Arabidopsis thaliana: one gene and its partners. The protein of the gene in region 2 interacts with the protein of the main gene of each other region in a biochemical or structural test. Each region holds a gene or a part of one and is shown on either strand. Other genes may lie near its edges. The genes, in order: AUR1, AT1G09200, EDM2 and GTE3.

The links.
Region 1: of the proteins of AT1G09200 (region 2) and AUR1, one has a biochemical effect on the other in vitro, tested with the Arabidopsis thaliana proteins (one study listed by BioGRID).
Region 3: the proteins of AT1G09200 (region 2) and EDM2 form a complex in vitro, tested with the Arabidopsis thaliana proteins (one study listed by BioGRID).
Region 4: the proteins of AT1G09200 (region 2) and GTE3 interact in a test that uses a peptide from one of them, tested with the Arabidopsis thaliana proteins (one study listed by BioGRID).

What each region holds. Positions count from the first base shown.
Region 1 is NC_003075.7:15,838,928-15,846,241, forward strand, and holds AUR1 (ataurora1), read left to right. Parts: upstream 1-3,515; 5' UTR 3,516-3,629; coding exon 3,630-3,665; intron 3,666-3,910; coding exon 3,911-4,030; intron 4,031-4,170; coding exon 4,171-4,317; intron 4,318-4,405; coding exon 4,406-4,501; intron 4,502-4,584; coding exon 4,585-4,680; intron 4,681-4,772; coding exon 4,773-4,869; intron 4,870-4,951; coding exon 4,952-5,069; intron 5,070-5,156; coding exon 5,157-5,229; intron 5,230-5,325; coding exon 5,326-5,427; 3' UTR 5,428-5,938; downstream 5,939-7,314. Other genes in the region: AT4G32820 (Tetratricopeptide repeat (TPR)-like superfamily protein), read right to left, coding at 1-1,550, 1,668-1,879, 2,005-2,045, 2,121-2,240, 2,353-2,427, 2,525-2,527; PFK6 (phosphofructokinase 6), read right to left, coding at 6,083-6,205, 6,295-6,449, 6,527-6,575, 6,678-6,934, 7,055-7,184, 7,294-7,314. UniProt on the Arabidopsis thaliana protein: Phosphorylates specifically 'Ser-10' of histone H3 in vitro and colocalizes with phosphorylated histone H3 during mitosis. Associates with cytoskeletal structures that are necessary for cytokinesis and with the microtubule spindle.
Region 2 is NC_003070.9:2,969,686-2,975,714, forward strand, and holds AT1G09200 (Histone superfamily protein), read right to left. Parts: upstream 2,650-6,029; 5' UTR 2,448-2,649; coding exon 2,037-2,447; 3' UTR 1,886-2,036; downstream 1-1,885. Other genes in the region: AT1G09195 (Ppx-GppA phosphatase), read right to left, coding at 78-119, 297-449, 678-1,772; CRT1b (calreticulin 1b), read right to left, coding at 3,532-3,543, 3,641-3,757, 3,842-3,871, 4,033-4,080, 4,174-4,269, 4,355-4,422, 4,930-4,987, 5,070-5,156 and 3 more. UniProt on the Arabidopsis thaliana protein: Core component of nucleosome. Nucleosomes wrap and compact DNA into chromatin, limiting DNA accessibility to the cellular machineries which require DNA as a template.
Region 3 is NC_003076.8:22,446,983-22,457,750, forward strand, and holds EDM2 (ENHANCED DOWNY MILDEW 2), read right to left. Parts: upstream 7,824-10,768; 5' UTR 7,433-7,823; coding exon 7,014-7,432; intron 6,920-7,013; coding exon 6,823-6,919; intron 6,593-6,822; coding exon 6,539-6,592; intron 6,427-6,538; coding exon 6,290-6,426; intron 5,904-6,289; coding exon 5,807-5,903; intron 5,698-5,806; coding exon 5,596-5,697; intron 5,489-5,595; coding exon 5,244-5,488; intron 5,164-5,243; coding exon 5,074-5,163; intron 4,994-5,073; coding exon 4,421-4,993; intron 4,354-4,420; coding exon 4,203-4,353; intron 4,123-4,202; coding exon 4,021-4,122; intron 3,925-4,020; coding exon 3,832-3,924; intron 3,513-3,831; coding exon 3,471-3,512; intron 3,309-3,470; coding exon 3,198-3,308; intron 3,055-3,197; coding exon 2,983-3,054; intron 2,880-2,982; coding exon 2,761-2,879; intron 2,656-2,760; coding exon 2,592-2,655; intron 2,496-2,591; coding exon 1,170-2,495; 3' UTR 955-1,169; downstream 1-954. Other genes in the region: AT5G55380 (MBOAT (membrane bound O-acyl transferase) family protein), read right to left, coding at 1-889; AT5G55400 (Actin binding Calponin homology (CH) domain-containing protein), read right to left, coding at 8,553-8,885, 8,973-9,064, 9,174-9,270, 9,364-9,521, 9,622-9,821, 9,909-10,061, 10,142-10,353, 10,530-10,646 and 1 more. UniProt on the Arabidopsis thaliana protein: Cellular antisilencing factor and regulator of genome DNA methylation patterns involved in the regulation of chromatin states.
Region 4 is NC_003070.9:27,501,603-27,508,816, forward strand, and holds GTE3 (global transcription factor group E3), read right to left. Parts: upstream 4,805-7,214; 5' UTR 4,395-4,804; coding exon 3,195-4,394; intron 3,098-3,194; coding exon 3,052-3,097; coding exon of another isoform or gene 2,999-3,051; exon of another isoform or gene 2,954-2,998; coding exon 2,861-2,953; intron 2,772-2,860; coding exon 2,725-2,771; 3' UTR 2,371-2,724; downstream 1-2,370. Other genes in the region: AT1G73130 (mucin), read left to right, coding at 103-294; TBL31 (trichome birefringence-like protein (DUF828)), read right to left, coding at 531-888, 997-1,143, 1,226-1,425, 1,525-1,696, 1,777-2,141; AT1G73160 (UDP-Glycosyltransferase superfamily protein), read left to right, coding at 4,932-6,392; CLE1 (CLAVATA3/ESR-RELATED 1), read right to left, coding at 7,123-7,214. UniProt on the Arabidopsis thaliana protein: Probable transcription factor that binds to acetylated histone H3.

The DNA of each region.
Region 1 (7,314 bases), on a different chromosome or scaffold from region 2:
TAAAACCTCAAGTGCCGATAACTCAACAGAGGAGATCCCTTCTTCCGTTTTTACAGCGTATGCAGGCAAGATGTCTTTATCTGGAAACAAAAGAGGTGCCAGTAAATTTACACACTCCGAATAAAATTCTTTCTCCATCATCTCAGGTATGTTATTTTCCAACAGGAAATCAATCTTAAGCAGATTAATTTCATGAATGATTCTATTGATGGTCAGCTCTCGAACTCTTCTGCAATGAGGTCGCTGAATTAAGACAGGAGCTTCTCCGATACCTTCCCTGCCCAACAATGACAAACACCTGAGATATTCTTCAAGTGCTTTAGCTTTATTATCCTCCAAAATTGATAACCGTGCACTCAGCCAGAAATATCGAGCCCAGAAAGATCTTGTATCATAATCTAACACCTCCTTAGCAGCCTCATCACCTTGAAAACTCTTAAATGAGGAGTCAGAAAACATTTTCCCTCGAGAACTAGGTGTAGAGTCGATAGCATAATCAAGGGAAACAGATTCAATTATCTTAGAGAGATGGTATGTTACTTCTACCATGCATGATGGGGCATCAGGGATATCTGATCGTTTAGAGTCAAAGTCATGGTACAGCTCGGCGAGAAAAAGACTGCATTCAGGTTTCCGATCTCGGCCCCAATGTCTTGTAAGCTTTTCTAACTCCAAAATTTTCAAGGCAGTCTCACGACTCAATACATGTTCACATTTATTAGCAATATATTCTAGAAGCAAGTGACCCATATGATACGCACCATAATTTTCTAAATTTTCCTTCACAAAATTAGAAACGACGGCGTGTTCAGAAATTGGATCAGATTCTTCATTGCAGAAAGAACCAGCAGACTCTCTGTCAAAACCCCTTTTAAGGACAAATTTCTCAAGATATTGAAGGATGTCACTGCTAGGATCCTTACTGTTATCAAATTCTAACCCTTCCTTCTCAGGTTTCTGGTTCCGAAGCCGTTCAAGACGAGTACTCCGCCTCTCTTGGGGGTGTTCTTCAGAAAACACAGGCTCTTTTTCTTTTACAGAACCACCACTTTCTCTCTCGATGTTGCAATCCTTAACAGACACATTACTTGAATCTGAATCCACACAATGATCCTTCTTTTTCATACCTTGCATAACAGCCTCTGTACTAAGGGATAATTCAATGGTTATCGGTATATCAGCTGATATGCCCACAGTTTCACGCGAAGGATGCACTATCCCAATTAGAATATTTAGCAGTGCCACCCATGAAGCTTCAGGAAGTTTAAATTGCACTCTTTTTCTTAACTTCTTGGAGGTAGCATCCATGTCCTGATTCATGTCAGACACCTTTCTTTTGCCAAGAAATTTGAGCCGAACGTGCTGAGGTTCAAGTTTATCTATACCCTTGGGAGCAAAAGGAGCTGAATCTGTGTCTTCAATACAATGTTTAACATGCAAAGCACGAGAATGTGATGGCCAATGCCTTAAAATCAGATTTGCAACTGAAAGACAGGAAACTTCATCACCTACGGCAATGAGAACTTCTAGAAGTTTCTCCATGCAGTTCCCTGCACATTAGCCAATTCAATTTTCAAGAGGGAGGGAAGGGTAAATGCAATAGTCCATACCACATATGAGTAATGTGAACCCAAAAACAGAGAGAGAAAGAGGAGAACAGTGCGTACAGTTATTGGGGCTGCAGAGAAGTCCCTGTTCAAATGCCCATCGTGAAATACTCAGTAATCCCATAGAACATGATAGGGTTCCAAGATGGTTCCAGAGCACAGAATCTTTTGCATCTAAGTCTATAGCTTGAAGATAACAGTTTAGAGCATTCTCGTAGTGACTTGAACCAAGCTCAAGAAAGACAGTGGCAAGATTCTTCAGAGCCAAAAATCTGCAAACAGAAATTATTTATAGGCGAGACCACAGCACTAATGAACTAAAAATATATGAACTAGACAAAATCAATTAGTAGACATGTAACCAATAACTAGATGAATTAAAACGATGGAGCTTGACCTGAGATGATGGAGATGATTGTCGTTTGCAATAGTCTCCACCTGGACATAATGTCAATAAGAAGGTCATTCATCATCCAAAGAAATCATCAGAGTAAGTGAAGAAGATGATTTTACTTTGGAGTTGGTTATAATAGGATCTTTAAGGATAGATTCTAGCAGCTCCCGAGCCTTGTCATAGTCTTTAGCTTGCAGCTTGAGAAGACCATCATGATATGTTTGTGACAGATGAAACTCCTGAAGAGGGCAATTTAAAAAAAAAAACAGTTCAATATATTTTTCAACAATGAGCTAATCTAACTTCTTTATACCAAATTGAGAAGAAAGAAGCCCTGAATCAGAAGAAAACCTGAGCTTCTTTGCTAGGAGCTAAAGGTTCCCACTTCTCTGTGGACTCCGTATCATTGATCGCTGCAATCGAAAACTGAAAAAAAAAAAAGCGAAACAAATGCAAAAAAAATCAAAAACTAACCGATTAAAAGGGGGATCAAAATTAAATCTTTGCCCGAAATTATCATTACCATCTTGATACTCGAAGCTGGTAATGGTTGGGGTTTTCGAGTTCTTGGCGCGAAATTGGTCAATCTTCTTCTTCTTCTAACTAGGGTTGATGATGCACGTTAAACACATTACTAGAGTTTTAGATTTCACAGAATTCTTTTCTTTGTTTGGTCTGTTCGTCCTCTACTGTGTTTTTCTTTTGTTTTGGCTATTTTGCCGTCTGTTAAAAAATTGGGGTTTTCCGATAATGTATTGTATATGCCTGAATTATGGAAATATCACTAAAAACACTTTTTTGCACTTTTGTATATATTGCAATTAAGATTTAATTTTTCTATTTTGAAGACTTTTTGTTAAAAGAGAGATTTGCTAACTCAAAATTACCGGAGTTAATAAGTTCGTTCTCATCAGATTAGCAAAACATTCATCTTTAAAGAAATCTGTTTATCTCACGTAAAATTCTACTAATTGGCAGCAGCACACTACTTTAATGGGCCTATTACTATTTCAATATGCACTGAAAACTTCATTGGACTGTCCAATAACATTATAACATTATTAAAACTAAACTACATTTGTATTTGGGTTACAATTTTATAAAGAGTAAGACTCAAGATACTAATTGGGCTGCAGACAACTTTAAAAGCCTTACTACAAAAATCAAAACCATTCTTAATTAACTAACAACCAGGTAAAAATCTCAGTACAATATTTACACTAAAAATAGGTGCCACCCACTATGCAAAAGTTTAGGGCCACGAACAAAAAAACCTGTAAATTGTTATGTCTTCACAATATGTGTTTTAATACACATGAATTTTAGCTACGGTTAATGTAAATTTTGTAGTTAAATTAAGGCTAAACAATCTCAAATATAAATTGGTCAGGTCCACAGACAACAGCCTGGCAAGTGGCAAGCACTAAAAATTCGACCGTTATTTTTTGCCCCTTTTTTTAATATTTCGAAATTGTATCTTTTAGTTTTATTTTAAAGCTTTTTAGCCCGCTCCTCCTCCGCTCCACCTTTAATTTTTTCACCAATTGGATTTGGATCTGTCAAAAATATTGGCCTCTTTCTCTCTTTCTCTCTTGCTCTCTTTCTTTGTTGGGTTGATCTCTTCTTCCATGGCGATCCCTACGGAGACACAACACCAGGAGAAGGTACTCTTTCACCATTCCATGATTCCTTCGTGTCGTTTTTAGCCAAATCTTTTTTCCGTTTCTTTCGATTTTTCTTTGTTCTTCCTTTTCTTTTGCACGATTTTAGGGTTTGAAACTTTTGTGAATTTGAACAATCGATTTATGTTTGGAATAGAAAGAGAATCAATTAGGGCAGATGTTCAAAAATTGCTCAATTTCAAAGCAGATTCGTTTCTAGCGATGATCTGAAAATTGGTTTTTATCAGGAGGCTTCAGATGCTTCTGCAGCAGCTGCACAAAAGAGATGGACTTTAAGCGATTTCGACATCGGTAAGCCTCTTGGCAGAGGCAAATTCGGTCACGTCTATCTCGCCAGAGAAAAACGGGTCAGTATATAACAATCTATCATCTTCCACCATCTTTCAAATTTTTGTTGTTAAAATCCAAACTTAAGAAGCATTTGTTTTAGATCCTTGATTGTTTTTCCTTCCACCAATCTCACACATACATGCAAAATGTGAAACAGAGCAATCACGTTGTCGCTCTAAAGGTTCTTTTCAAGAGCCAGCTTCAACAATCCCAAGTTGAACATCAGCTCAGAAGAGAAGTTGAGATTCAGTCTCATCTTCGTCACCCCAACATACTCCGGCTTTATGGCTATTTCTATGATCAAGTAACTTTTCATTTTTCTCCTTTTTTATTCACAGATAATTGTTATCCAATCTACTCTTGAGCATGATTAAGTTCTTCATTTGTTGCAGAAAAGAGTTTATTTGATACTTGAGTATGCTGCTAGAGGCGAACTTTACAAGGATCTTCAGAAATGCAAATACTTCAGCGAAAGACGAGCTGCTACTGTTAGTCATTCCTTCCACATTTTGACCTCTCAAACTGATTTCTTGTATGAAAACTGATATCCTTTCTATGTTCATTGTGCCAGTATGTTGCCTCATTGGCGAGGGCTCTCATCTATTGCCATGGCAAGCATGTGATACACAGAGATATTAAACCAGAGAATCTGCTAATTGGTGCTCAGGTGATGATATAAGCTTTACCTTTTCCTTTACATCTATCCATTTGATTATGAAACTAGCTAATATTATTATTCATGGATCCTTAACTATTCAGGGTGAGCTCAAGATTGCAGACTTTGGTTGGTCGGTACACACATTTAACCGAAGAAGGACCATGTGTGGCACACTAGATTACCTTCCTCCTGAGATGGGTAAAGTTGAAGGCTTGCTAAAAAGTTAGTTCTGGTGGGATCTAAATTCTTTTTAACAGTGACCTTTTGGATTGTTTTACAGTCGAAAGCGTAGAACATGATGCTAGTGTAGATATCTGGAGCCTTGGGATTCTCTGTTACGAGTTTCTTTATGGTGTACCTCCTTTTGAAGCCATGGAGCACTCAGACACATACAGAAGGTAAACAGCATTTGAAATCTACAATTATAGTCTGTTTCTTGTGGGGTTTGTTTGATGATATTTGTTACCACCAATGATCTATATCAGGATTGTGCAAGTGGATCTCAAGTTCCCTCCCAAACCAATAATCTCTGCATCTGCAAAGGATCTTATTAGCCAGGTTATATTCTATACCTTCAATCTAACAGATACACTTTGATGCAAGTGCTAGTTATTGAATCTGAAGTCTCACATATTTTCTCAATTGTATGTATAGATGCTTGTCAAGGAGTCTTCGCAACGTCTGCCATTGCACAAGCTTCTGGAGCATCCGTGGATCGTGCAAAACGCTGATCCTTCTGGAATCTACAGAGTTTAAAAACAAAACGCTTACTGTTCTCGCCAATCTCGACCAAAACTGTTATCTAGAAACCCAAAACTGTATTCTTTCTTACTATTATTTTTCGCTAATTCATGTTCCAAATAATGTGTATTATGTAGTATGTACTAATACTATATGGCATTAACGGAAGAAGGAAACTCTATAAAGAGTTGTTAGCTGAAAAATGTTTCTAATTTCACCTATGACGATGAGAACTTCTAGAAGTTTCTCCATGCAGTTCCCTGCACATTAGCCAATTCAAGTTTCAAGAGGGAGGGAAGGATAAATGCAACAGTCCATACCACATATGAGTAATGTGAACCCAAAGACGGTGAGTTTGATGAAATGGTTTGCCTATTTGAAGGGTTATTTACAACCCGCGTGTTTATCCGTTTCCAGAGGCAAGATAATGACGATTTTTTACAAAACAATGTCAATGGCATTACTCTGTAACTTTTTACAAAACAATGTCAGATTTTGTTATAAACTTCTAAATTAATAGTAGGGATTAGTGCAGAATAGTAGAGATGAACTTCTCAGGCTTGGATAAGAGGTTACCAGAGACGAAGAAGATAACAAGACAGAATATCATTAATGGTGATGCAAAAAAAATCAAATGACGGAATGTAATTTTGCCAAAAAATTTTTGCTATTAGTCGGTAAACTCCGTGGTTCCTTTAGGAGGGTTCATGAAGCTGGGCTGGTTTGTAGATGACAACATTCGCGCCCACATTCTATCTGTAATCACAACTTTGTTCTGTCTTTCGGTTATTCGCTGCGCAGAGAAAAGGAAAGAAACAAAAAAAGGATTAAAGCTCGATGATCCAATGGCAAGGACATATACTTAGGCGAAGAGAAACTTACGTTAAAGGGAATGTAGGTGTGCCTTCCATTAACAAGACCAGAGACAAAGCCGGTATAGCCAGCCATTGCACCATGGACTGCGCTTTGGGCAAGGAGAGTTGAGTAGACGTTGTCAGATGCATTGGCTGGAATAGCTCGGATCATGTATGTCGGATCTGAAACATGGTTTGAGTCATATTTCTAATTCATGAATCTATGTAGCTCGACTTGAATTTGGGGAGGACAAACGTACCAATGTATTTAAGAGTAATGTCCATTACATTGTGCTTCGCAAAGTATTCCTGTAACAAGAGCCAGAGAAGGAAACAACTGTAATAAACCCACATAAATATCTTGTCTTTTAGGTGAAAATATGGGACTGAATCTCGTTGGCAATAATTTACCTTGATTTTAAGACTCATCCATAGTCCTACATCTTTAAGGAGCTTGTTTCCTGAAGCATCTTGTTGTTCAATGCTCTCTGCAACAAGATCCTGTCCTGCTCCTTCAGCAATCACTATAACCATGTGGCCATTTTCTCTGAGACGTTTTGCAATGAACTCATAGAGCCCTCCTTTGCCTTCAAGGTAAAAGGGTGACTCGGGAATCAGACAGCAGTCAACATCTCGGCTAGCCAGAGTAGCATACATTGCAATGAACCCTGCAGTGTAGAAGCTGTAAGATTAGATAAAAGCGTAGGGAGTAACATCATAAAGAAGATACTTCTGTGGTCTAATATTTGTATGCATTACTGCTCTCCTAGATTCTTCTGTGAACTTACCACTGTACCGACCCATTAGCTTGACAATTCCAATGCCGTTTTCCACACTGGTCGCTTCAACATGCGCTGCATTAATAGCACGTTGAGCCTCCTCAACCGCAGTATCAAATCCAAAGGACTTGTCAATGACCTAGATCAGAGATACTATCATCAAATTGAGCTTCTTGCGAACTAACCAGAATAGGAGAGGAGGTTAAGGTTGAGAGTGCAGACTACAATAATGATAATCTAGGACTTACTGGGATGTCGTTGTCAATGGT
Region 2 (6,029 bases):
CAGTAAATTCCACAGCAGTAAAAAAAAAAATGTAAATTGAAGACAAGTTCCTCCTTATAGAGGATTAAGTACCCTACCTCGATTTCCTCAGCAGTGTAGCTGTGGAGATGATCCCCATTCTACGAAAGAAGAAACTATTAATAACAATGTGGACAAAACAAATACTGAAAACCTACAAAAATTTTCTAGTAGAAACATAGAGTACTCTTGGTGATAAGCTTTTGTGAGTTACTTTTCCAGATTATAAAGAGCTGTGCTTATTGAATGGTATGTTTGACAGCGTTAGATGAACTAACCTTGATGATATGATAAGATTGCTTATGATAACCCTTTTTCCCTGTGATGATTCCGATATTGTGCAAGAAACAAGCAGCTTCGAGATACTCAAGATCTTTATCGTCTAAGATAACCTTAAAATCATTGCACTTCCTCAAACCTAGATAGATCTCCTGGAAAATCACTGTACTATCAAACCTACTGAAACAAAATGACCATATCCAGTTGTGCAAAGCTTAAAATGAAATTTGAAACCATTAGGCACTAGCGCACACACACAAAAGAGATATATATATGACCAGAGGAATGCATATTTAAAAGGTATGACAAAAAGCTACAATCTTTATGAATATCTGCCAACCAATATTTCACAATTAAGTTGCTCGTGAAAAGGAATGTACCTTTGCAATCTTGGCACAGTGTATCGCATGAGTCATTCGCTTTTTACCACTGAAACGCGTGGCAAGCCTCATGACCGATCGCCATCTTGCATTAGCATTTAAATCATATGATCCATCAAAAGCTTTGGCCAGAGAATCAGCAATCACACCCTCTGCCAATGCATACTCTGAGACCTCCATGTCCTCTATGCCAAGAGCCTTGAATATTTCCTCCAACAATACAGCCCCAGCAACAATGAACTCTGATCTTCTCTTGAAAAATCCCTCCCTTCGAATCAGCTCTTCGTCTCCTTCACTGCATAGCTTTGCTACAACGCTGCTCAGCTCTCTTGTACCAAATCTCCAGTCCCTCTTATACCCTTCCAAATTGAAATCACACAAATCAGCTCCATAGCCACTGAAAACTGCATTCTCAATAGCTCGTATAGTTCCAGAAGATCCCACAACAACCTCAAAACCATCTGATTCATTCAATTTTTCTGCTAACCTAGACTCATCAATCGCATGACGAATATAGTCTCTCATTTCCTTCAATCCAATACCATTTTTCATAAACATCTGCGTCAAATTCACGTGACCTAGCTTTAAAGAAACAGCAAGCTTGACATCACCACACTTACCAACCACAAATTCAGTAGAACCACCTCCAATATCAACACACAACACTGATTTCTCAAACACAGGTAAAAACTGAAGCACGCCTAAATAAACTAACCTGGCTTCCTCTTCACCAGAAAGCACATCGACCTTAAGCCCAACATCCTCAAAAACCGCATCCACGAACTCTTCCTGATTCTCGGCTCGCCGTAAGGCTTCCGTTGCAACGCATCGGATCCTATCACCAGAGACGTGGTGCGAGAGAATTAAACTTTTGAATTTCCGTAGAGATTGAAGCGCGCGAGCCTGAGATTGAGACGAAATTGAGGTTGGAGATTCACGAGACAACACCACTGGCTCTTTGAGTCTCTCGATTGGAACGAAAGATCTACCGGAAGGCTCAGCTTGGACTATTAGAAGCTTGAAAGAATTTGTTCCCAAATCAATGGAGGTGAAGACCTCCGATGATATAGGATTCGATAGCAGATTGGAGTTCATCTTCGATCGAATCACAACTAATTAACAATGATCTTCACAACAATTTCAGCGTCAAAGCTGATTAATTTGTGAGACTATAATGAGTTGTGAACTAGCACAAATTAACCAAACAATTAGTGATTAATAAAGTCAACTAAAAAGTCAATACTTTGATAGAACAAAAGATAATTGCTTGGAATTAATATTATAACCCTTGGATTTAACTTGAAATTTTACAATCTTATGGTTCTAATCAAAACACAAGAGTAACCAGAATACTTAGATCTAAGCTCGTTCTCCTCTGATTCTTCTCGCGAGCTGGATGTCCTTGGGCATGATCGTGACCCTCTTGGCGTGAATGGCGCAGAGATTGGTGTCTTCGAAGAGTCCGACGAGGTAAGCTTCAGCAGCTTCCTGAAGAGCGGCGACGGCACTGCTCTGGAAACGAAGATCGGTTTTGAAGTCCTGAGCGATCTCTCTGACAAGCCTCTGGAAAGGGAGTTTACGGATAAGAAGCTCAGTGCTCTTCTGGTACTTCCTGATTTCTCTTAAAGCAACAGTTCCGGGTCTGAATCTGTGTGGCTTCTTCACTCCTCCGGTGGCCGGAGCAGATTTCCTCGCCGCTTTTGTCGCCAGCTGCTTCCTTGGAGCCTTTCCTCCGGTTGATTTCCTAGCCGTCTGCTTGGTACGAGCCATGAAGTAAAATGTTATTAAGAAACTGTTTGATTTTAATTTGAAGATGAGAGAAAGTTGAGATCTGGATAGTTTGTTTCGATTGAGGAAGGGGATATTTATCGTCTGGAAATTACAAGAAGTGGGAGGGAAAATATTTCGCTTTTCTTTTTCAGCGGGATTAGATCTGGATCGTTCATTGGTTTTTAATCAACGGATATAAGAGGTTTCTATCACGATCCGCGTGAAATCACAGCAACCGTAGATTAATACAATTCTACGGACAGATTTCATTCTTTTCTAACACTGATCCGCGTGAAGGTACGAAGACCAATAGAAATAAAAGAAATAATCTAAATATATTATCTTTACCAAAAAACCAAGCCCATTACTTAATAGGGCCTGCGTAATTGTTTTTCTTTTTTTGGTTCTCAATCAGCTTTTTCTGGGCTTAAATACCATCTCAATATGCTAGGACGCTGTTTTGTATAAAGATTGTGACTTCATCTTTTGAGAATGACATCATGAATTAAAATATTGCTGTCTAAGGTTAAGGTAAAACAAAGATTGCACTGCATTCGTTCTCTAGCGTTCTAAGCATCTGTGGTTGGGGTACAATTATCTCTATATAATTTTTGTTATCTCAACATCTGTCTTCACAATGGAAGTGAACCCAGTATAAGTGTATAGACAATGTGGAAATTGTTTGGAAAGTGAAAGACATTCTACATTACTACTACTCTAGTATCAATCAACTTGCAGGGACGTTGGACTGTTGGATTATGGACTTGGTGGTCTGTATTGACTGACAAGAGACTAACAACAAATTCTCAAAGGGTGGGGAGCAGTGAACGAATACACCAGAATCCGATTTTGGCGGACATTGGCTTAGCAGAGAAACAAGAGTAGAGAAAGAGAAGCAACTGCAAAACTTCTTCATGGTTTTTTAAAGTCTAAAATGAGCATCTGACAGACATTGTATCCCCCTTTTAGTTTTGCTAAAACTTGTTTCTATCTCCGACAAACTAGATGCTAAAATACTTCAAAAGAAAACGATAAAACAATAAAGAGACTGAAAACTTTGGTCTTCAAATCTTCAACCTTTCACCTATAGCTCATCCTGCAAAACCAAATCACGCAGTTTTAACCACAACTCAAGGAAAACAACAAAATTATGGATGAGTGAAATTTCTCCAAGTGATATTGTGGTAGCATACATGAGCGGTGGCGTCTTTCTCAGAGGTTTCCTCGCTATCTACTGATTTGGTCTCCTCGGCCTTAGATTCAGAATCGGAATCATCTCCTCCTTCATCATCCTCTGGTTCGTCTTCAGCCTGGAATTTATATCACATATAATATTAGGACCTTGACAGAAACAAACAAGACTCTAAAAAATTTGATCCTTCACAAGTGCTTACATCAGATTCCGCAGGTGCGTCCTTGGATTCCTGTATCAACACAGAAAAAGGAGAATGCCGTCTTAGATTATCTATTCCCAACTTGGTTACAACAATTACATAATTGGCAGTAGAAACTCCACAAAAGTCCAAACTACTTGTTTTAGAGAGATTCAAATGAATTAAGCTAAATAATTAGGAGAGATATTTACCTCTTCCTCATTCTTCTTCTCAGCCTCATCGAAAGCTGCTTTCTCCGCCTGCAATGTGATATTAGATTGGATATTCTGATCAGTAACCAGAAACAAAAAAAAAAAAACTGTGTTATGAAATTGGGTATTTTAAACACCTACATCCTTGAGCTTTCCCCATGTTTCATCTGCCAACTTCTTGGCATAGTCTGGGTCATCGCAGATCAAGACATTGTCGAACAATGATCCTGATTTCACCTGGAAGAGTAACATGTATTAGATGAGAGTCATGGGAATAAAGCATATCTTCGAAGGTCATTCAAAGTGACAAAGATTTATTTACCTGCCACAATTCGAGTCCAACATATTTCAGCTTGGGGAAGACGTAGAGCTCTGGGTCATCCTTGAAGTCTGCGGTAATCAGTTTATTTTAGGCACACTAATTGTTTATTATTATGTCTAAGAGAGCTAAATTTTCATGTAAGTTAATGCAAGCATAAAAAACAAAAAGTTGCGAGTTCTACAGTTACATCCAAATGAACATGATATAAAAGTGTAAATAAAGGTGAACAAAAGATATAGATTACTAAATGTGTCAAACTGGTGTGACCATGGATTTAATGATAGAGAAGATAAAAGAAAAACCAGGTTAGTTACAAACATGTTTCTATTTAATAGGTTAAACCACTAAACATAGAGACGCCAATAAACCTTTTGGAAGTAAAGGATTACTTCAGCATTTGAGTTTAAATGAACCCTTAGGCCTTAGACTTAGATAGTCCTTCTACTTAGTCAAGAGAAATCTAACTGGAGAAGATTTAGGCATACCAGAAACGACCATCAAACAACAAAGAACAGAAGTTGAACCACAAATTACATGCAACATGGATAATATGGCCACAGAGAGTAGTAATGTACCAGGGTTGTCAATCAATGGAGCCTCCCACTTGCCCTTGTAGTTGGGGTTCTTGATTTGCTACAAAAATATTTGACAGCCTTGAGAGGAAGAAAAACGTTGACCAGGATATAGATACTTTTTGGAATAGAAATTGACAAACCTTAGGCTTCCATTCACCCATGTACTCAGGGTTGGGGATTGTTGGGGCAGTCCACTCACCATCTTCTTCATCATCCCAGTCCTCAGGCTAAGAGAAAGGACAACGAAAAATCAGCAAATACGGAACACAGCAAGAGATTTTAGATTTTACATCAATTATAGACAAGTATGAACCTTCTTTGAGTCGGTGTCTGGGATCTCCTTAGGGATATCATCGTAACCGTCAGGTTTCTTGTCTTCAGGGTCAGAAATGTATTCTTGTTCGTCCCAGTCCTCAGGCTGTACAAATAAATAAAAGGATCAATTTGTATGATGGATGGTATCTCAGGTATAATCAACCAAGTTCATCAGAGAGCTTTGGTATGGTTTGTGGTTAGTTCTAGTTTGCTCCAAAATTGAGTATAAGTGGTTGGTTCTCAGTTTAGCCTGGTTGTTCATAAGAAATAGAATACCTTCTTGGCGCTGGGGTCCTTGATCTTCTTGGGTGGGAGAAGATCCCAGTCAGAGTAAAGGCTACCAGTTTGTTTCTCAACATTGTCGATGAGAATGCTGTAAGTAGCATCTGGGCGGAGGATAAATGTGTACACATGGGTGAGCTGGTCAGTTTCACATGGAACATCTTTCTTGATCAGGTGGTTGGCTTCATTATAGGTAAGGATAGCATGCACTTTCTTTGTGCTGTAGCCACAGATATCAGGACCAAACATGATACTGCAGGTAAAAAAGCAGATGGGTTGTTATTTTTAAACATTGATGTTAATTGATAATAGGTTGAGATGATAAGAGTGAGATGAGATAGGATTTGTACCTGTATGGTGTGTCTCCACCAAATTTCTTTTGGTCAACATCACCACTTAGTAGCTTCATGTAGCCACCACCGCAGTCAAGCTTTTGCTCGTGCTTGACTGAGAATTGGAAGACTAAGGTCTTGTCCTTGTTACTGAATTCAGGGAACTCAGCT
Region 3 (10,768 bases), on a different chromosome or scaffold from region 2:
GACCAGAGACAGCCCGGTGCGGTGGCCTCAACCATTGTGTTCTCTTCACCGCTATCTCAGTGGCAGTGGCAGCACCATGCAACACAAAGAAACAAGTGACTTCCCAAGTTGGAGGCTTACGGATCATGTAAAAGTAGAGCAGCTCATGCATCAAGCCTGAGACAAAGAACGATGCCATGACCCCAGCAAACATAGCCCCGTCTGGACTGAGTATGCGTTTGAAAAAACGCTGAACCGGAATGTGAACGGTTGAGCGTAGGACGGCTGAAACCATGAGGTTCCATCTGCGGCTCCAGAAGTCTTGTAGGGAGGTAGCTAGGTAGGGCTCATTGAACACCGGCTCGATGTTACACCCAAGAAGAGTAGATACCACGGCTCCAACAAAGACCAAGACAAGTTCTACCTCAAGGTAAATATGGAGACAATAGAGAGCCAAGACAACAAACCGAGGCAAACCATCCCTGTATTCATAAACATGTAACAAGACGCCCAAGACCAAAATTTTAACAGCCAAAACCCATTTAGGCATAGGTTTAGGATGAAGATTTGGTATCGCATTTGGAGAAGGGTCTTGTCTGATTTTGATGGGTAAACAAGCGAAGCAGATGAAACGGGAGAGTTTTGGAGGAAGTGGGAACAAAGGTCCCTCATCAAAGGCAAATAGAAGAAGCTTAAAGTTTGCAAGCCATGAAAGAAAAAGAACTGAAATGGCGCAAAAGTGCACACAAGAGAGGAACAGAGGAAGAACAAGAAACAGAATGCAGACTGGAAGAATAGAGAGGAGACGAAGAACACCTTTGGAGAGTTTAGACGATATGTAATAACAGTAAGATAGAGAGATTAAAGCAGAGATCCATACCTCGATTAAGTTTCTAAACTTTTCTTCCATTTCTCAGATCTGTCGTTTGCTAATTCTGTGGAAGCAGCAGAGTTTGACGTGGTCCTGTATTAAAGAATTACCACAAAATATGACTCAAAAGTTTAAGACAATAGAAGCTGGCTTCTTTTTCTTTTATATTATTAAACAGCTAAAAGGCCCACTAGCTACACATGTGAGTGGCAGAGAAAAGTTATAGATTTCTTCTATTCTTCCTACACTTTCGTAGAGTGAGACACAAAAGATCAATCAAACTACTAATGTTGCAACTACAAGGATAATGAGTGCTGATCTAGTCATTAATCCAACCGCCAGATCGACTCATATAAGGGTAGTTCGGGTTCGGGCCAGGGGCAAAACCCCTTGGACTCATTTCGAAGTCACTAGGTGGTGGCGGTGGCAGTGGAAAGTCATGAGGATTTAAGAGATTATGTCCGCTAGGTTGCAATGGAGGCTGAGGTGGGAAAGAGCTCATCCTCTGGTAATTCATTTGATCGAAATGAGGCGCATAACGTTGTTGCAATGGGAATGCATTGTCCATCAGATTTGGAGGAGGAGGAGGAGCTAACATGGGGTCCAAGTGCCCACCGTACTGCTGTGGATATTCTCTTTGACCAATCCCTCTATCAAGGTCTGAATATCCTCGGAAATCAAACATCTCGTTAGGACCATTTCTCAATGGAAACTGATCCGGTAGGAAAGGAGGATCCGGCATTCTATAGCCTCCACCGAAACCACCATACTTAGCAGCAAGACCATCGTCGAAATGGGACAAACTTGCACCATAAGATGGTTCAAAAGCTTCAAACGGTTTCTGACCCGTATTTTCTGGCGATGGACGAACAGTGTAGATGTCCTCTCTAGAAGTTCTCACAGAGCTAGGCCTATCCCGACTCACTTCAGGTTTTCCAGTGCCCTGCACTTTACAACCATGTTCTCTAATATTCTTTCCCAAGTTACTTTTTGTCCTTGTTATTGCAGGCAGAGATGCTTCTACAGCCTCGTGAGATCTTTGAGGTGTTGTAGTGGAAATTGATGTGCAGACAGCATATATATCATCTGGGGAAGACCTAACAGGACTCTGCCAATCAGATGTCATTTCGGGAATTTTTACTTTGATGCTCTCTGGTGCTCTACTCAACTCTCCTTGATCCTCTTCCATGTCATTGCTCTTCCAATCCACATTATTAGAATCCATAGATTTCCCAAGCTTCCTACCAGAGTAGTCTTTGGTCTTTCCCTCCTTTTTCAGCTGACTTCTCCGTGACAAGTGATCTGACTGATGTACACGTGCTACAGTTTCTACTGTGTCGATTTTCTCAGAGACTAAGATTTTATTAACGCATTCAGCTACCTCAAGTTCATCCTTTTCCATAGGAATATCATCACACATGCCATCAGAAGCTCCAAGTGGATGCAAAGATGCGTTTGCTTCTTCTTCCACTATCTTTAACTTTGAGCTCCCCACATCCCTAGACAAATGGCAATGCTTCTCCGCTATTTTCTTGTGCTTGGCTGCAAAGTCGGACCGACTCCAGAGAGAAAGTGGCGGAGGAACAAGGTTCCAGTCTTCCAATTGCTTGTCTTCTTCATTGACAGAACCAGGCAGGTAAAATGACTGAAAGGAATAGGCAAGAAGCATAACATGTAACTGAAACTCAATAAAGGCTCAATCTCTCAAAAAGCAAAATCAAAAGAAAAGCGAAAGATTTACATTTCCAGATAGGAACGTCTTATCCTCCCATATAAGCACATATGATGACTTCTTTTTATCTAACCTGTTGAGAAAAGTGATAGATTTAACAAGAGAGAGAGAGAGGAGTCGATATATTAGTGTTATGGAATGGTACAGAGGAGCAGATGAGATAGATGGAAACTGAAACCTTTCAGTCTCGGGAGGAACAATGAGAATGAGAATCTTTGGGCGGAACTCAAGAGCCTTGGTAATAAACTTGTTTGCAAGAGAAGCATTGACTCCAAATGGTGGATTTAGCCCCATAATCTACTCATAATTCCAAAAATATAAACAGTCAGATACTACTCAAACTATTTCAATGACACTGGAGCTTACACAAAGTTCATACTAAAGGAAATTTGTGTCTTACCAGCTTTGAACCTGGTTCCAACTCATCTTTACTTACAGTCATCCAATCCTTTCTCTCAAAATTGAAATTATTCTGAAAGTAAGATAGCTAATCAATGAGTAATCCTAGAAGACTGATGAATAGAACACACCACGATCTAACATATGTTGCTTCCGTATCAGTGATAAGACTTTACAACTTACGACAATAGTAGGCACACACACACAAGTCATTACCTTCGCTGGAAAAAGATCGTAATTTTTATATAAGCACTTCTTCCCCGTTTCTTCAAGCTTCGCGTTCATCAGACAGCTAAAGTCATTAGAACCACAACAGAAGTCGACAATCTGTTGGAAGAGATCCCAGAAACCAGACATCATTGTTTATGCACAAGACATTGATCATTATACTAACAAGATCATACTTCAGAATATAAGAAAAAAACTTAAGAGAGGTAAACAAAATAATAAAATTAAACCCAACAGATAACGTTTGTGAGCAAATCTCACCATATCACCATCATCTGCATACCAATGCAGCCTATCAACAATCTGCACAAAAAGTAATAATAGGTCTGGTCAGGTACAAGCTTCAGATACAGGAGTTAAAATTTGACAAGAGTGTGTAAACAGCAGGTGATAGTCACTAGTCACGCAGGTGACAGAAAGTGTAAACCAACAGCATAATAATCCTCACAGAAGACAGATTAAGTAAGCTAATTGGAAAGACATAACATCCTACATTTTAAGAGTCATCTCTCCTTGAATTTTTTTCTTTCTCACTAATTGACTAAGTGTGAACCGAAAATCCTTGTAACATACAGGATGCTTAGACCTAAATCTTGTTTATGCTTTTAAGAGGATAGATTACCTGTTGAAGTTTTTCAGGATTAGTAAAATGACGACCAAATGAGGTATAGCGTGCACCATGGAGAAAAGGAGCAAGATAAACTTTGAGCTTATCCTGAAGCAAAAGAAATAAACATCTACAGGATTAGCAAAAATTACTAGTTACAAACAAAGATAAATAAAAAGGATGTCGAAAAAGCTAAGCTAGGACCTTCCACTTGAGGATTTGGCTCAGAACCTCTGGCTCACAAACTGCTTTTGCATCCTCAATGTTTCCTCCTTCCTCAAGCTTTTTTAGTGCTGTTCTGATAGCCTGAAGAACCAAAATTTTAAATTCATAACTAGAGGGTTAAGAGAGGCCAGATAGGGATCGGGTTCAGATTTTTAGCCCACCTGGACTGATCCCTCTACCTTCCCCATAGTGATTGTCTTGTCCACAACATTCCTTGTGGAGTGTGTACTCATAGTAGATTGAATTTTGAATTTCTTTAAAATAGTACCCATAGTTATTTCTTCCGTAGCTTTTTTCATCACTGCCAAGAGCCTATTGACAAAAGTAGATTACAATGGAAGAAATTTACTAATAGGCCCCAAACAACAAAAATACAAACCTCCTTTGAGAGTCGTTGTCTAATGTAGGAATTTCACTTCCTGGCTCCTTGGAGGCAATTGAGTCAGTCTTATTGTGCTTGCTATCAACAGGAATCACGCGCCCAGGTTTTACTGGATTAGGTTCCTGGGTATAACTAAACAACCTCTCACCCAGTGAAATCTTGCTTTTACCAGCATCACGGGCTTCTTTTACTCCCAGCTTGTTTTTGCCAGCTTCACGGGAGTCTTCCATCATCTTCTGGGATTTTTGTGGAACCATTTTATGCTTTATGGATGGATCAATATCCTTACGTTTCCTCGAATGATCTGGTACGGATGAAACTAATCCATGCTTCTTTGTGGAGAAACCATCTTTTGAAGAAGGAAACGAACTTCTAAAGGAATTCTTAGAAGCTTTTCCACAAGTATCTTGTAAGGCAGGATCCTTAACCTTAAGTCTTGCTTTATCTCGTCCCACATGTGATTCCAGTATCCTTCTTTGCTCTTTCACGAAGACCTTCTGCTCTTCCGTGAAAGGAAACTTAACATGGTCTCTAACTGGTGTCAGAAGTTCTTCATCTATCTCATGTTCTCTAGGCAAGGTATCTCATTCAAAATAAGTGTCTCAAGGTAAATAATTATAAATTCAAAATACACCATATATGAATCTTACTGGCAATATATGAGTACACGGTTGTGCAAGAGTCCGTCCCATGCCCTAGTTAATATATCCTCGTCCTCAATATCTTCAAAAGAAATTTCCCTAGAAACCAACAAGACAGTTATTCAAATAGAGTTCTGAAATAGCAATAGAAAATGAATGATGAATGAATGAAGGTATACCGCGGTAGGCATTTTCTATGGTAGGACTTTGGACAACGCCGGCAAACAGCAAATTGCAAATTAGAGTCTGTCTTAACCTCTCCGTTTTCACAGACACTGCATTTGTGCAATGGGCATGTATACTCTCCAGCAATGATTTGTCTTTCTAGTGCTTCAGACTCTTCTTTATTTCCTAAACGTAGCCGTCTTGTGACACAGTGAGGATGGTAAAAGTAGCCACAGGTGGCTGACACGCATTGGAAAACCTATGAACATGTTTAAAACACAAAGCTCAACCAATTACTTGTCAGTCACCATTATCAACAAAACATGTCTGAACAGCATTCAACATTAGAGATCAATAATTGCATACCTCTGCTGCTCCAGAAGAGTTATCAGAAGAGCCAAGGTTCTTGCAAATGAAGCATTGATGTATCTTATGCTCACAGTTTGGGCAAAAGTATTTCTGAATTGCCTGGAAAACAATCCATAAACAGCATTAACATAGACTCCATGCCTACTCAAGAAAACCAAGACGCCCAGACATATTCAGAACTAATGAAAGAATCATATATGTTACATACTTCCACTTGCATCTTGTTAAAGCCAAGAGAATCACAAAGTGAATCTTCACCATCTTTTTTGGTAGCATGAAATGATCTCAGGCAGCTTCCTTCACAACTGCAGAAAGCAGAACACAAGACTTATGCATCTGGAATAATAACAGTGTATCTTTAGAACCTTTGAAGGCCTCAATTGCCTCAAACGCTGAATTTGCGTTTGCATGTTTCACAGTATTAAAACATTTTCAGTGTTTCATAAAATATTTTTGCAAATGCCAAACGCAAACAGAAGGTACGCTTGAGTTTCAAATTAGCAAAGGAAATTGTTCAAGACGCTAAAGGTTGTAGACTATTTGAGAAAATTCACACTAAATGTAAAAGCAAACGCTGGCATAAACGCACACAAATAATCAAGGCCTTATTCTAATAAAGAAAGTAAAAGGTGTAAGACTAATTATCAGAGATAATCAAACTACAAGATCAATATCCAGCAAGGAAACATACCACAAAATCTCGCCACCATTGTCACATATTGCACAAACAGACTCAAAAAAATCATCGTCTTCATCATCCAATTCATCTTCATCGGAAGCTACATAAGTGTCCTCATCTCCAACTATGAAATCATCTTTTGCATTGTCCTAATAAGTAATAACAAGTTCGTATCAGAAACTAAGACCGTGTGAAAGTAAGGGAAAAAAAGGGAAACGGCACATTAGGAAAGAGTACTCAAGTGGGAAAAAAGATTCGAACCTCGTCAGGTAATCTCCTTTTGGTAGGCTTTTTTGTGAGAAATGCAAGTATAAACTAGTAACACAAGAAAGAAAAACAGCACAAAATTAGGAGAGAATCAGGGTAAGAAAATGATACATATACAGAAAACATTCAGGCCAGAAAGCGAGCTAAACTCTTGATAACAAATATGGGCATCACAAGCTCTCAGGAAACAAAAGCTACAACACCTATAAGAGATTTAATGGACTCTTCTAATTCAAAAATCCCAAAGACCAGAAACTCTGAAAATTCTCCATACAAACCTTCGAATTCGCCAAATTTCTATCTCTTTTCGCAGCTTCAGCGATTAAACCAATATGATCCACCAAATCATTCTGCGATGGCTTCACATCATATGACCTAGAAACAACATCCAATCACTAAAGTTAAAAACCAAAAGAATGAAAACTCCCAGAGAGAAGAACAAAAGACCTGAAAAGCACAAATCAATCACCTCAAACTTCTAGTTAATTTCTCCCAGAGAGCTTTCTCGGACGCTTGGGGATTCCTCCTAAGAAACTGAATGGAATGCAACGTGACCAAAACAGTTCTAATCAATTCCCCATAGCTTTTCCTCGGTTCCTCAAGCTTAATCCATATATTATCCTTCGTAAGAACAGAAATCTCAGGCTGGAAGTTCGAAAGATCGTATCTCCAAGCCTTAACAAGCTTATGCAGAGGCAAAAGGCCGTTATCAGATCTTCCTCGCAAGTAAAAACCTAAACCACTACCATCAACTTTCTCCTCCACGCTCCATTGAATTGGGAGACGAGCAAACGAAACAGGCTCTTTATCATCATCTTCGAAATAATAATTGGAAGCTGATTGAGGAACAGAGAAGTCTTCCTCTTCATCATCGTCAACGAACGTCATTCAATCCCAAAATTCCCTTAACCCTAGAGACGTTTCAAAACACAAACGATCAAACGGGACACAACTTTCTCCTAAACCCTAAAAGAAATAGAAATTCAAAACTCGAATTAGGGTTTCGTTTTAGGAGACACAATGAACATGAATTGGACAATGAAGAAGACGAATAGCCTGGACATTTAAAGTCCTTCAAAGATTGGTACATCCAAAAATTGAGAAATTGAGAAAACGGAATTGAAGAAGTAAGCGAATGAATTGATTACGAAGTAGAAGAAGAGAAGTGATAAAAACCTATGAGAATTATCGTCTCTGTGTGTTGATGGAGATTATACTATGACGCAATTGAATCAAAAGAGAGTAAGAATTGAGGAAAAAAAAAGAGTAAGAATCGTCGTCGTCATTATTTTTTTCCAAGTTTATATACTCGCGCACGTGTGCAAGCAACGCCGCTGAGATTGTGTTTTTGTTTTTTTTTTAAATATGACAAATTCTTAACATAATTCGTTTTTTTTAGTTCCCTTAAATTTCGTTCTACAAATCTTCAGCATAAAATACGAATAAGACCGAGAATATTATATCCCTCTCCTTAATTAATATTTCGTATAGATTTCTCTATTTAGGGTTTTTATTGGATAACTATTATTCGAAGCAGGTACGTTTAAATAACAAGTCATGCAAGAAAGCATGCGCCTGGCTCTTGTAGCACGTTTGGTCTGCGATGGCACTGCAAAGTGCAACGTGTGACTGGTTCGACGCTCGAGCCAGGCATCAGCAGAGAGAGAGAGAGAAGAGCAAGCAACACCAAACAACAAAAACAATAAGTCGATAAATATAAATCATTTGAGGTATTCTTAAATATCTCTTTTTTGTGTTTTAGCCGACAAAACGAATGCAAATCATTCCTTTTCAGCACAGTTATAATTTTAAATGACATTATTTTATGAAGATAAAAAACAATGACATTTTAATGTTTACTCCATAAAATATTTTTATCTTTTTATCTTTATTGTTATTGTGGTAACAAATATAGTTTTTATTTAGTAGTAGTAACACAAACAGAGGTGATGTGAAAAAATATTACAAAGCAACTCTGTTCCGGCAAAGATAGTTCAGTCTTGTTGCTCTATTCGTTAGCTGCTTCCTCTGAGATGGAGGTGATATCTGACAAAATGTCTGCGTCATTGTCTTCTTCTATCGTTAGGCTCGAGACTTCATTGTCTTCTTCTATCGTTAGGCTTGAGACTTCGCCATTTAAAGAAGAGACTTCGTCTTCACCCGTGACAGATGGAGCTGGTGAAGCATCAGTGCTCGTGCATGTGCTAGTGCATGTCGTCGTCGTGCTATGAGTTGATGATGAGTCTGAACTCGAACTTGAACTCTCTGACGATGATGATTGTTGTTGAAGGCTCCAATACATTATACTTGCCGTTAGGATTAGTATCATCTTTTGATTCACCTGCAACAAAAGACATTTAAAAACATCAGATTTACATTTTGATGTATGTTGTTTTCTTGTTTCGGAAGATTTGATTCCGTTCTTTACCTCCACGATATCTTCTGGCAACAAGAAAACCGAGCAACCAAGCTTTCTTGCTACGCTGACAATGTATGTAGCATTCAATCTCTTCTCATCGTCTGTTACAAAGTTTCCATAGCGAAAAAATAACGATTAAACAAATTCAGTTTGAACAGAGAAGAGAAAGAGAGTGAAGAGGTTGTGAGTGTAGTTAGAGAGAGTAAGGACCTGATTCACCCTTGGTGACAAGATTCCAGTTAACAACTCTTGGCTCAACCGCCCATAGAAGATCGAGGAAGAATAATCCGCTCGATAGACTTTTATCCTATTGAAGTTTAGCAAGACAGATTTTGTTCAACATAAGCTTGTTCAGTTGAACTTTTTTTTTTTGAGTTTTGATAAAAGTAAAAGATGGAACCTTGAAGCTTTCGATCTGCGATTTCCGCCCCATGATTCTGACTTTCCTGTTAGCCCAGCTTATGATTTCTGAGTCGGTCATGTCTTTTCCTCGTGTCCGAGATCTTAGACTCTTGAGAAGTTGGAGCATATGTGTTCTCATCAACTGCCATAAGAAGCCTGAGACATGTATACACACCTTTAGTGTTATACAATTTCTAAGACTGTTGAGCATCTTAACAAAATAAACATTTTTTAGCTAGCTAAGAAGAGTAATTACCGAGGATAAGCTTTTTATTTCCTTGAACAATGTCATTTCCAGCTACATTTACGAGCGAGAATCTCATCTCTTTCCCAATCTTCACGACTTGATTGCAATTCTCTACTTTTCTAAACGGCATCTTAATTGGTGGTTTTGAAGCCTGCTTCCAGTTAACTGAGCCTGGATAGACCTTATCAACAACTTCCAGAAGAATCCATCTGCATCAGAAATATTCAGTATTGAAAAACTTATAATACGTTTCAGGACCAAAAGATTATAAATTATTTTGCATACCAAATGCTTACCCGTTTCTAACATCTTCAAACACATTATTGACGTAACTCTCAATCCCGAGGCTGTTAATCCATAGCCGGTAACATCTTTCGTCTCTGCAAGTCTGTAAATCCTCAGTCATCATCTCCGCAAAGGAGAATCTACCATCAGTGCTAAGGCCATTCCTGCAGCAGGTACAGAGAAGCTAGTGTGTAAGAAACCAGTACATAAGAAAATATTCTATCTTTAGTGATCTTTTACCGACCTTTCATGAAATATCTGTGCCACAAATGCTAGATTCAAATACGAAGACCCCTCAACTATCTCCTCTGCAGTCAAATACCGTTTGCAGTTCATTCTCTCTGCGTGTTCGAGGACCATGTTAGCCCTTTCAAGATCATCCTCTGCATTTAGAGTTGCTGGATCACAATGCTCTGGTGCGAGAACATTAAGCAGGTAAGCATAGGCCTGTGCGTCCTGCATAGTCAACAATCTCAACCATCAACATTAAGAAAAAATACCAAACATTTTCATAACTAATGAGTGATCTGTTGTTTTTTCTATTCAAACTGATATTGCGTCAGCGTGTTGGAGAAAACTACTTGATGAAGCTTTTGAAGGGACAAAAAAGAAGATTTGCTATTTGGAAATACCTTCAGATCCGATGAAAAATTTCCAACAGTTTTTTTGTAACCACCTTTCTTGAGATGGAAGTTCATCCATTTGAGCAAGACTTTCTCTGGGGGTAATCTCAGAAATTCTTCTATATCCTGCAACAGACAGAAACTTGTTATTAATATCTACGACATGCTTATAGTTTGGTCAGATATTCACAAATAGATTAGCAGATCGTTACCTCGTTGTCCTCCACCAACTCAACAAGCTGAGGCAT
Region 4 (7,214 bases), about 25 Mb from region 2:
ATAGTCAATGACCAAAAACCTTCTAAAAACTTAGCATTAATCCCATGAGAAAAGCATTAGTTATATCCCATTGCCTAATTTTACCCTTTTTATTATCATCAGAGAAAGGTCTTGGACGTTTTAACTTCAAAGAGAAGAAGAGAGAAGGAATATGAGCAGCTTCCGATTTGGTACGGAGATGCGGGAATGGGTTCTGATCTGGCCACTAAGGAAGAGTCTCAACAAGTGGAAGCCACAGACTCCAAAAGCTCACTTTTACTTGAATCAGAAGATTCCCAGTGGGAGCTATTGTGAGAGTTTTGATCATTTCATATAGTAGTTAAAATCCGGCCAGTGTTTTATCTTGAGTGAGACTCCTGTTACTATATTTAAACATAAATGAGCTAATCTGCTCTGAGATTGAAGCTTTTTTGACAGTGAATAAACCAAAAAAATTATCCTATCTTTTCTTGCACTCATATCTGCTACAAAATGAAACCCATTGTTGATAAAACTTAAGAAACTTGAGCTTAACACTCCCCAAGAAGGGATCAGAAGAAATTGCGGTGACTGCGAAGCAAATATGCATAGAGAATCTCATTCCATGTATCAGGAACTCCTGGCAAACACCAGTGGATGCAATCTCCATAGTTTTTCGGATCAGCTCTCTGTTCCTTTGTCAAGAGCTTCCCTCTCCGTTCTCCATACACAGTCGTATGTCCATCTTTCCTGTATTCCGACAGTTGCGTAATGTTCAGGAACGTGACATTTTCTCCAACTCTGCTTAGAACATCACCAACAATCTTCATGATTTCTTGATTTGATCCTGTACCCCAATATGATCTTTTGTCTATTGGATATAACTCATCATAACAGGTTCCATCGCTCCCTGGATTCCACTCCCAGCTCCTTCCAAGATCACACACCAAAATCACTCTCCATGTCTTTGGAAATTGAAAAGGTTTGCTCTAAAAACTATCTATAATCTTTTATGTTTTGTGTTTGGAAGGAACATACCATAGATGAGTCGGAGACATACTCGTGAAGAAAACTTTTTGCTTCTCGGAATTGATCTTCGTCTTAAACCACTTGGCCCATGTTTCTAACGCCATTTTATAAGCAGTCGTCACATTATACTCTCGGACTTCACTGGTATCTCCATACCTGCATATGCGTATAAGTTTTCCTTCTAAGCTCTTCTGTAATGCAAGCAACTCGAATATGGCTTATGCGTTATATAGCTTACGTTGCATTGATCTTAGGTTGATGCATCCACCATACATAGCTCTCAAAGACTAGAACATCAACCCCTTCCCAGCTCTTGCTATGTTTTTCAATGGCGTCGAGCTTAACCAACCTTTTGTGTACTGTATGATTAGTTGCATGATCTGAAATCGATTCCACGATGAAAGGTGCCCAGTAATACTCGATGGATGCATTGTATTCCTGATCAATTGCATAAACTTTAGTATAAGAAACCATATTAGCCTTTTTTCTTACAATTCATGTTGAAAATCTCTTCTAGGAAGATGAGTTTTGATGTACCTCAGCTTTGAAGATCTTCATAGGAGGAATCCTATGGAAGGACTTCTTCTTCTCAGGAATTACTGATTGCACCATACAGACCATTGACTCGAACGTGCTTCTCTGCACTGAGTCTCCTATGAACATTAGTCTTTTGTTTCTCAACACGTCCAACAGTTTCAGAGCATTGAACCTGAAACATCTCAGAGGTTTTAAACACTGCGCAAGTTTGAATCTGAGATCATGAAACAACACATGCTTTTTGTTTCTTACCTTGGCAAGTCGCATGAGCTCGGTTTCCATCTCCAGTTCTGGTAATAAGAATCAGGCCGTCCATTTCGTTGACATGTTGTTTGTTTGACTAAATAAGGACAGCTCTTCTCTGTATAAAGAGGATAAGAGACATTGTCCCAAACCCATTGTCCTTCAAAGACATTGCAGCTCTCATCAAGCTGATCCTCTTTAGTGACAAACACTGCCTCTTTCTGTCTGAAACCATATAGTTTGGATATTCGACTTTCTTTGCTCTTGAGTTCATCAAGTATCCATCTCACGGATCCTAGAACTAGAAGACTAACAAGCACAACTTGGAAGATGGATTGAATCATCCTCGAATCTGCAGTTGTTTGTATAGACATTTGAAACAGACTTCTCGGAGTAATTAGCTCGTTTAGAACTACTTCTTGCTATTGAGCTGATGAATCTATGTTGGATGTTTGAGAGAAGCGTATGTCTTCACATACAAGCATAAAAAAACGACTTTGTTCCATGCAACCACCAGTTGGTGATCTTTCTACATTAGGTAGCATGTCCTTTGTTTTGGTGATTGATCTAAAAATAGTGATATGATACTGAAAACAACACAAATTTGCCAATAAAGGTCTCGCTTGGGTTTTGAGGTCAAACTATTCTCCGATCTGGCCCAGCAAGACTGGTCGAAAATCAATGCACAAATTTGAACGTAAGACCAAACAAAAAAAAACCAACTAAGAAGTACAGAACAAGCCTGTTCAATTGATGACACAAGCCCGAAACAAAAGACTTATGTCCACTTTTCTATACAATTAACAAGAACCCTAATACAGTAATACAGAAACAATCCGATGGTGGAAAAGAAGGTAACCTAGCTTTGCTATTTTAAGAGATGCAAAAAAAAAAAAAAAAGTTGGAAGTTGACACCACGATGGCTCCCACCTATGCTAAATACTTTCACAATCGTGGTTAATTACCGGTATCAGATTCATGTCCTGAGCTATCACTGTCAGAGCCTGCATAACGAAAAGAGGAATGTGAGTAAACTTGTTTGGAACTGTGATGCTCATAAGGGAGAAGAAGGTAAACCAGCTTCAACATTTACCACTAGAACCCGAGCCTGAGCCACTACTAGAACTGTTAGAACTACTTGATCCTCCAACATTTACTTCTTGTCGAACAGTAGATGCCACATGACCTTTTCAAGTGTCAAAAACATTAAAGAAGAGTTATTGTAGTGGGGCTAAACGACCAATATAGAAGAGCTTGATACTATCTTAAGAATTAAAATTTCACCTAATTCAGTAACTTTTGACGATTCAAGGCCAGTTACTAGCGTGTTCTGTGAAGACGGAAGAAGAAATATGATATCATTAGCCCAGTAAGAGTTATATGGTAAAAGTAAGAGAAGTGAATAACAATTAGGTATTTGCTCTCACCGATTCGTGCACACTATTGTGAAAAGATTCAGCATCTCTTTCTGAGTCTAATCCCTGTTCCTCCTTTTTCTTGCTTAAGCTCTCCTTATATTCAGTCACGAATCTGAAAAGCTCCCAAAGTGTTTCCAGATCAAGACTATCAATATCTAACTCAATCTCATCATCTTGTTGAGAGAGTTCTGGAGTTCTCTTCTTTATAATCTGCACAACTGCCTCTAGCTTGTCATAAGGTAAATCCTGGAGGTCTTCACTTAGTTGCCGCTTCTCATCAAACGTCAAGTCCCTGTTTGCAGACGCCTCTTCTACAAGCTTCTCGGGGACAACAGGTAAAACTGCAGGTTTCACTGGGTTTGTCATAGATTCAGCTCTCTCCAAAGTCCTATTTTCAACTACTTTAGGAGGAGGAGGAGGAGACAGGGAAGGTGTAGGAGCGGGTAACGGTAACGCCTCTACATTATGAGTGTTTGTCGAAACAGGAGCATGGAAATCGATATCACGGACTGGTTGTTGCTTCCTAATAAGTAACTCATACTGCGTTTCAAGAGGCACCCATTTCTCTTCAAACAGATTCAACAAAATCTCAGCCATATGATACACATCATGCCCCACAGGATTATACAGCATTGCATTGTTAAAAGTAAGTCTGACATCCTCAGCAAACTCCAAAGGTGACTTATACAAACTCTTACTCAACCTAGTCTTCACTGTTCCTAAATCCATAGGCTCCTTAATAATATTGTGATAATCATGTAAACCAAGCGTAACTACATCAACTGGAGTATTGAAAATCCATCCAGACTTATGCTTCATTAACTTGGTAAGCAAATTGTTGCAGCTCTTCAAAATCTGAACAGTACCTTTATCAGCAGCAGCTCCATGTACTCCACCTTTCTTACCACCGTTTGCTGTTTTCAGCTTCTTGTTCGGCACGGGAGCGAAGTTGTTACCTTGTGGTTCGAGCCGTTTGATCAAGCTCCTAACTTCCTCAAGCTCAGCTTGTAGTTTCCGCTTCAAGTTCCTAACTTCAAGCTTGGAAATTGAGCTTAAACTTATCTTCATCATCTGATGATTATCTTCCAACCCAAGCGAATTCGAATTCGCCACCGTGGGCTTGGATCGTTTTTGGCTTTTGTTGCCACTATCACTCCATTTATGCTTCGTCTTCGAAACTCCACCACCAGCTATAGGACCAGACGCCATTACCTTCGTTGACAATTTCTCTGAACGGAAAATTTTAAGGTTTCTCTAGAGATTTTACGCACAGAGACAGTAATTGGGGATTTCTGAAACAATGAATCGAAGATCGGGGAGATTAGGATCCGTGGTTCATGAACATTGACTGTGTTTGCAACGACGAAACCCTAGGAAGCACAGCGTCGCAAGAATAGCGTAGACACACGCGCATTATCTCACGCGCCTAAAGAAACCCGATAAATTAGGGGAATTACACATGTGTAAAGTGTGACGGAGTAATCACACGCCTACGTGTACAAAACAAAATATCAAACCGGGAAAACTAATTAGGTGTGATATCCCGGTTTAGTTACAAATCTCAGTTGGTTAAGAGAGATTTGACTTTCAATTGAATGTAAAAACCATATAAAAATTAGCTAAGCCATGTGCAATGTCATTGAGAAATGAACTTTGATATAATAACTCGAGAAAGATCCGAAATTTAAGCAAAGAATCAACATCAATAGTTGCACTCAATTCACAAAAATCAAATAAACCAAAACAATGGCCTTCAAGAACCATTCTTCAAGAACAACTCTTTCTTCTTCTTCTTCCACTTCATTTTCATTCAGATTCACAACAATCATTACCTTAGCATTCATCTTTTGTTCTTCTTACTACATTTTCTTCTCACAGTTTGATTACTCTCCGGTGACTTCTTCACCGGAAAATCCTCCTTTCGCAGGAGATCTTCGAGACCTGACATTCCCTTGGAACAAACTCTCACTTGGACCAATCTCGGAGAAGCTCAAACTCGCTGTCTTCTGCAAGTCATGGCCTGTTGGTTCGATCCCCGGAGGAATGGAGCGTCATGCTTACACACTCTACACTTCTCTCGCCTCAAGAGGTCACGAGATTCACGTCTTCACGGTTTCTTCCGACAGAAGTAACCGAGAAGAGTACTACAACAAAGGAGATCTCCATGTCTACTTTGCTCCAAACGAACACGGCTCACTTAACCACTCTCGAGCTTTTGAGATCTTCCATAAAATCAACAGTCTAGATCATCATTCCTTTGATTATGTTCACACTGAGAGTGTTTCTCTGCCTCATTGGCGAGTCAAAATGGTGCCTAATGGTGACATAGCTGTGACATGGCACGGAATCTGGTACGAGATTATGCATTCAAATCTTTTTCAAGAACTTTCCAATGATCGTCCTAGCTCTGATCTTCAACAAACGATGCCTAGACTCGTCGATGAAATCAGATTCTTCCCAAAATATAAACAGCATATTTGCATTAGCAACAGCGCGCGCGAGGTACTAGTTAACATCTATCAACTTCCTAAGAGAAAAGTTCACGTTATAGTCAACGGTGTTGACCAAACCAAGTTCGTGTATTCTCCTGAATCTGGAGCTAGGTTCAGGGCGAAACACGGTATTCCTGACAATGGGACATATATTGTGATGGGTGTGTCTGGACGTTTGGTGAGAGACAAAGGACATCCACTTCTATATGAAGCGTTTGCTTTGCTCGTTAAAATGCACCCGAAAGTCTATTTGCTTGTGGCTGGATCTGGTCCTTGGGGCAAAAGATACGCGGAATTAGGCGAAAACGTTAGGGTTTTAGGAGCTTTAGAGCCAGAGGAGCTCTCTGGTTTCTACAACGCTTTAGATGTGTTTGTGAATCCGACGTTGAGACCACAGGGGCTTGATTTGACGATCATTGAGGCGATGCAGTGTGGGAAACCTGTCGTGGCACCTAATTATCCAAGCATTGTTGGGACAGTGGTTGTGGACGAGCGTTTTGGGTACACATTTTCTCCAAACGTGAGATCTCTTGTTGAGACTTTGGATTCTGTTGTAAGAGATGGGCCTAGGGTTTTGGAGATGAAAGGAATAGCTTGTAAGGGATACGCTCTTTCGATGTTTACAGCGACTCAAATGGCTTCGGCTTATGAGAGATTCTTTATGTGTATGAAAAATGAGAGGTACTGTAGGTACCCTCTTTCCACAGATAACTGATTTGGTAAATTGGTATAGTTTTGTAAGTTACGTTGAATCATTTCTTTTGTAACAAGTTACTTGATCTCTTGCAAAACAATTTGGTCACACTATTCATACACATACTTAAGCTCAAGCTTGTCACGACTTGTAACTTTTTGTGAATTTGTAACGAAAGTGATGAAAAAGAGATTTTGGAAAATGAGTTTCGTAAAGAGCAGCATTTCAAGGGTTTGATCTCTGAAAAATTGAAGATTTGAAGACGTTGCTTCGCTCTTAAAAAGTATAATTCTCTCTGTTTTCCCCTGTTTTTTTTTTCTTTTTGAAAAACTTCAATCACTATCGTTCTCTCTTTATGTGATATTTCATTGGTGGACGATGAGGCAAAAGAGTCCATATATAATATATACTTTTCTACACGAGCCATTAGAGACTGAAAAAACAGGATAAATTAAATTAATTCAATCCTCCCTTATCATACTATATTTCTTTACCCTTTCTTGTTATATAACAATTTATATGCAAAGTCCTCCTCTCTACTAGACTACTATATAGTGGAATGTATAAGGTACGTAAAGCATGCACAAATCATAAATGTGTAACGAAACAGATACATCAATATATTGGTTACACCGAACGAACAAACAAGGCAAAAAAAACAAACAAAGAGGATCGATATGTTTTCTTCTAAACCGGTTCTCGATCAAGAACAAAATATACATCCTCGAATTCAAAACTACGAGAATAAGACTTAGTGATGGCGAGGATCGGGACCTCCAGGACTGAGTCTCATGGACTCATTAAAACCTCTCTCCATTAGCTTCTCCATACTCGCTTTCAACA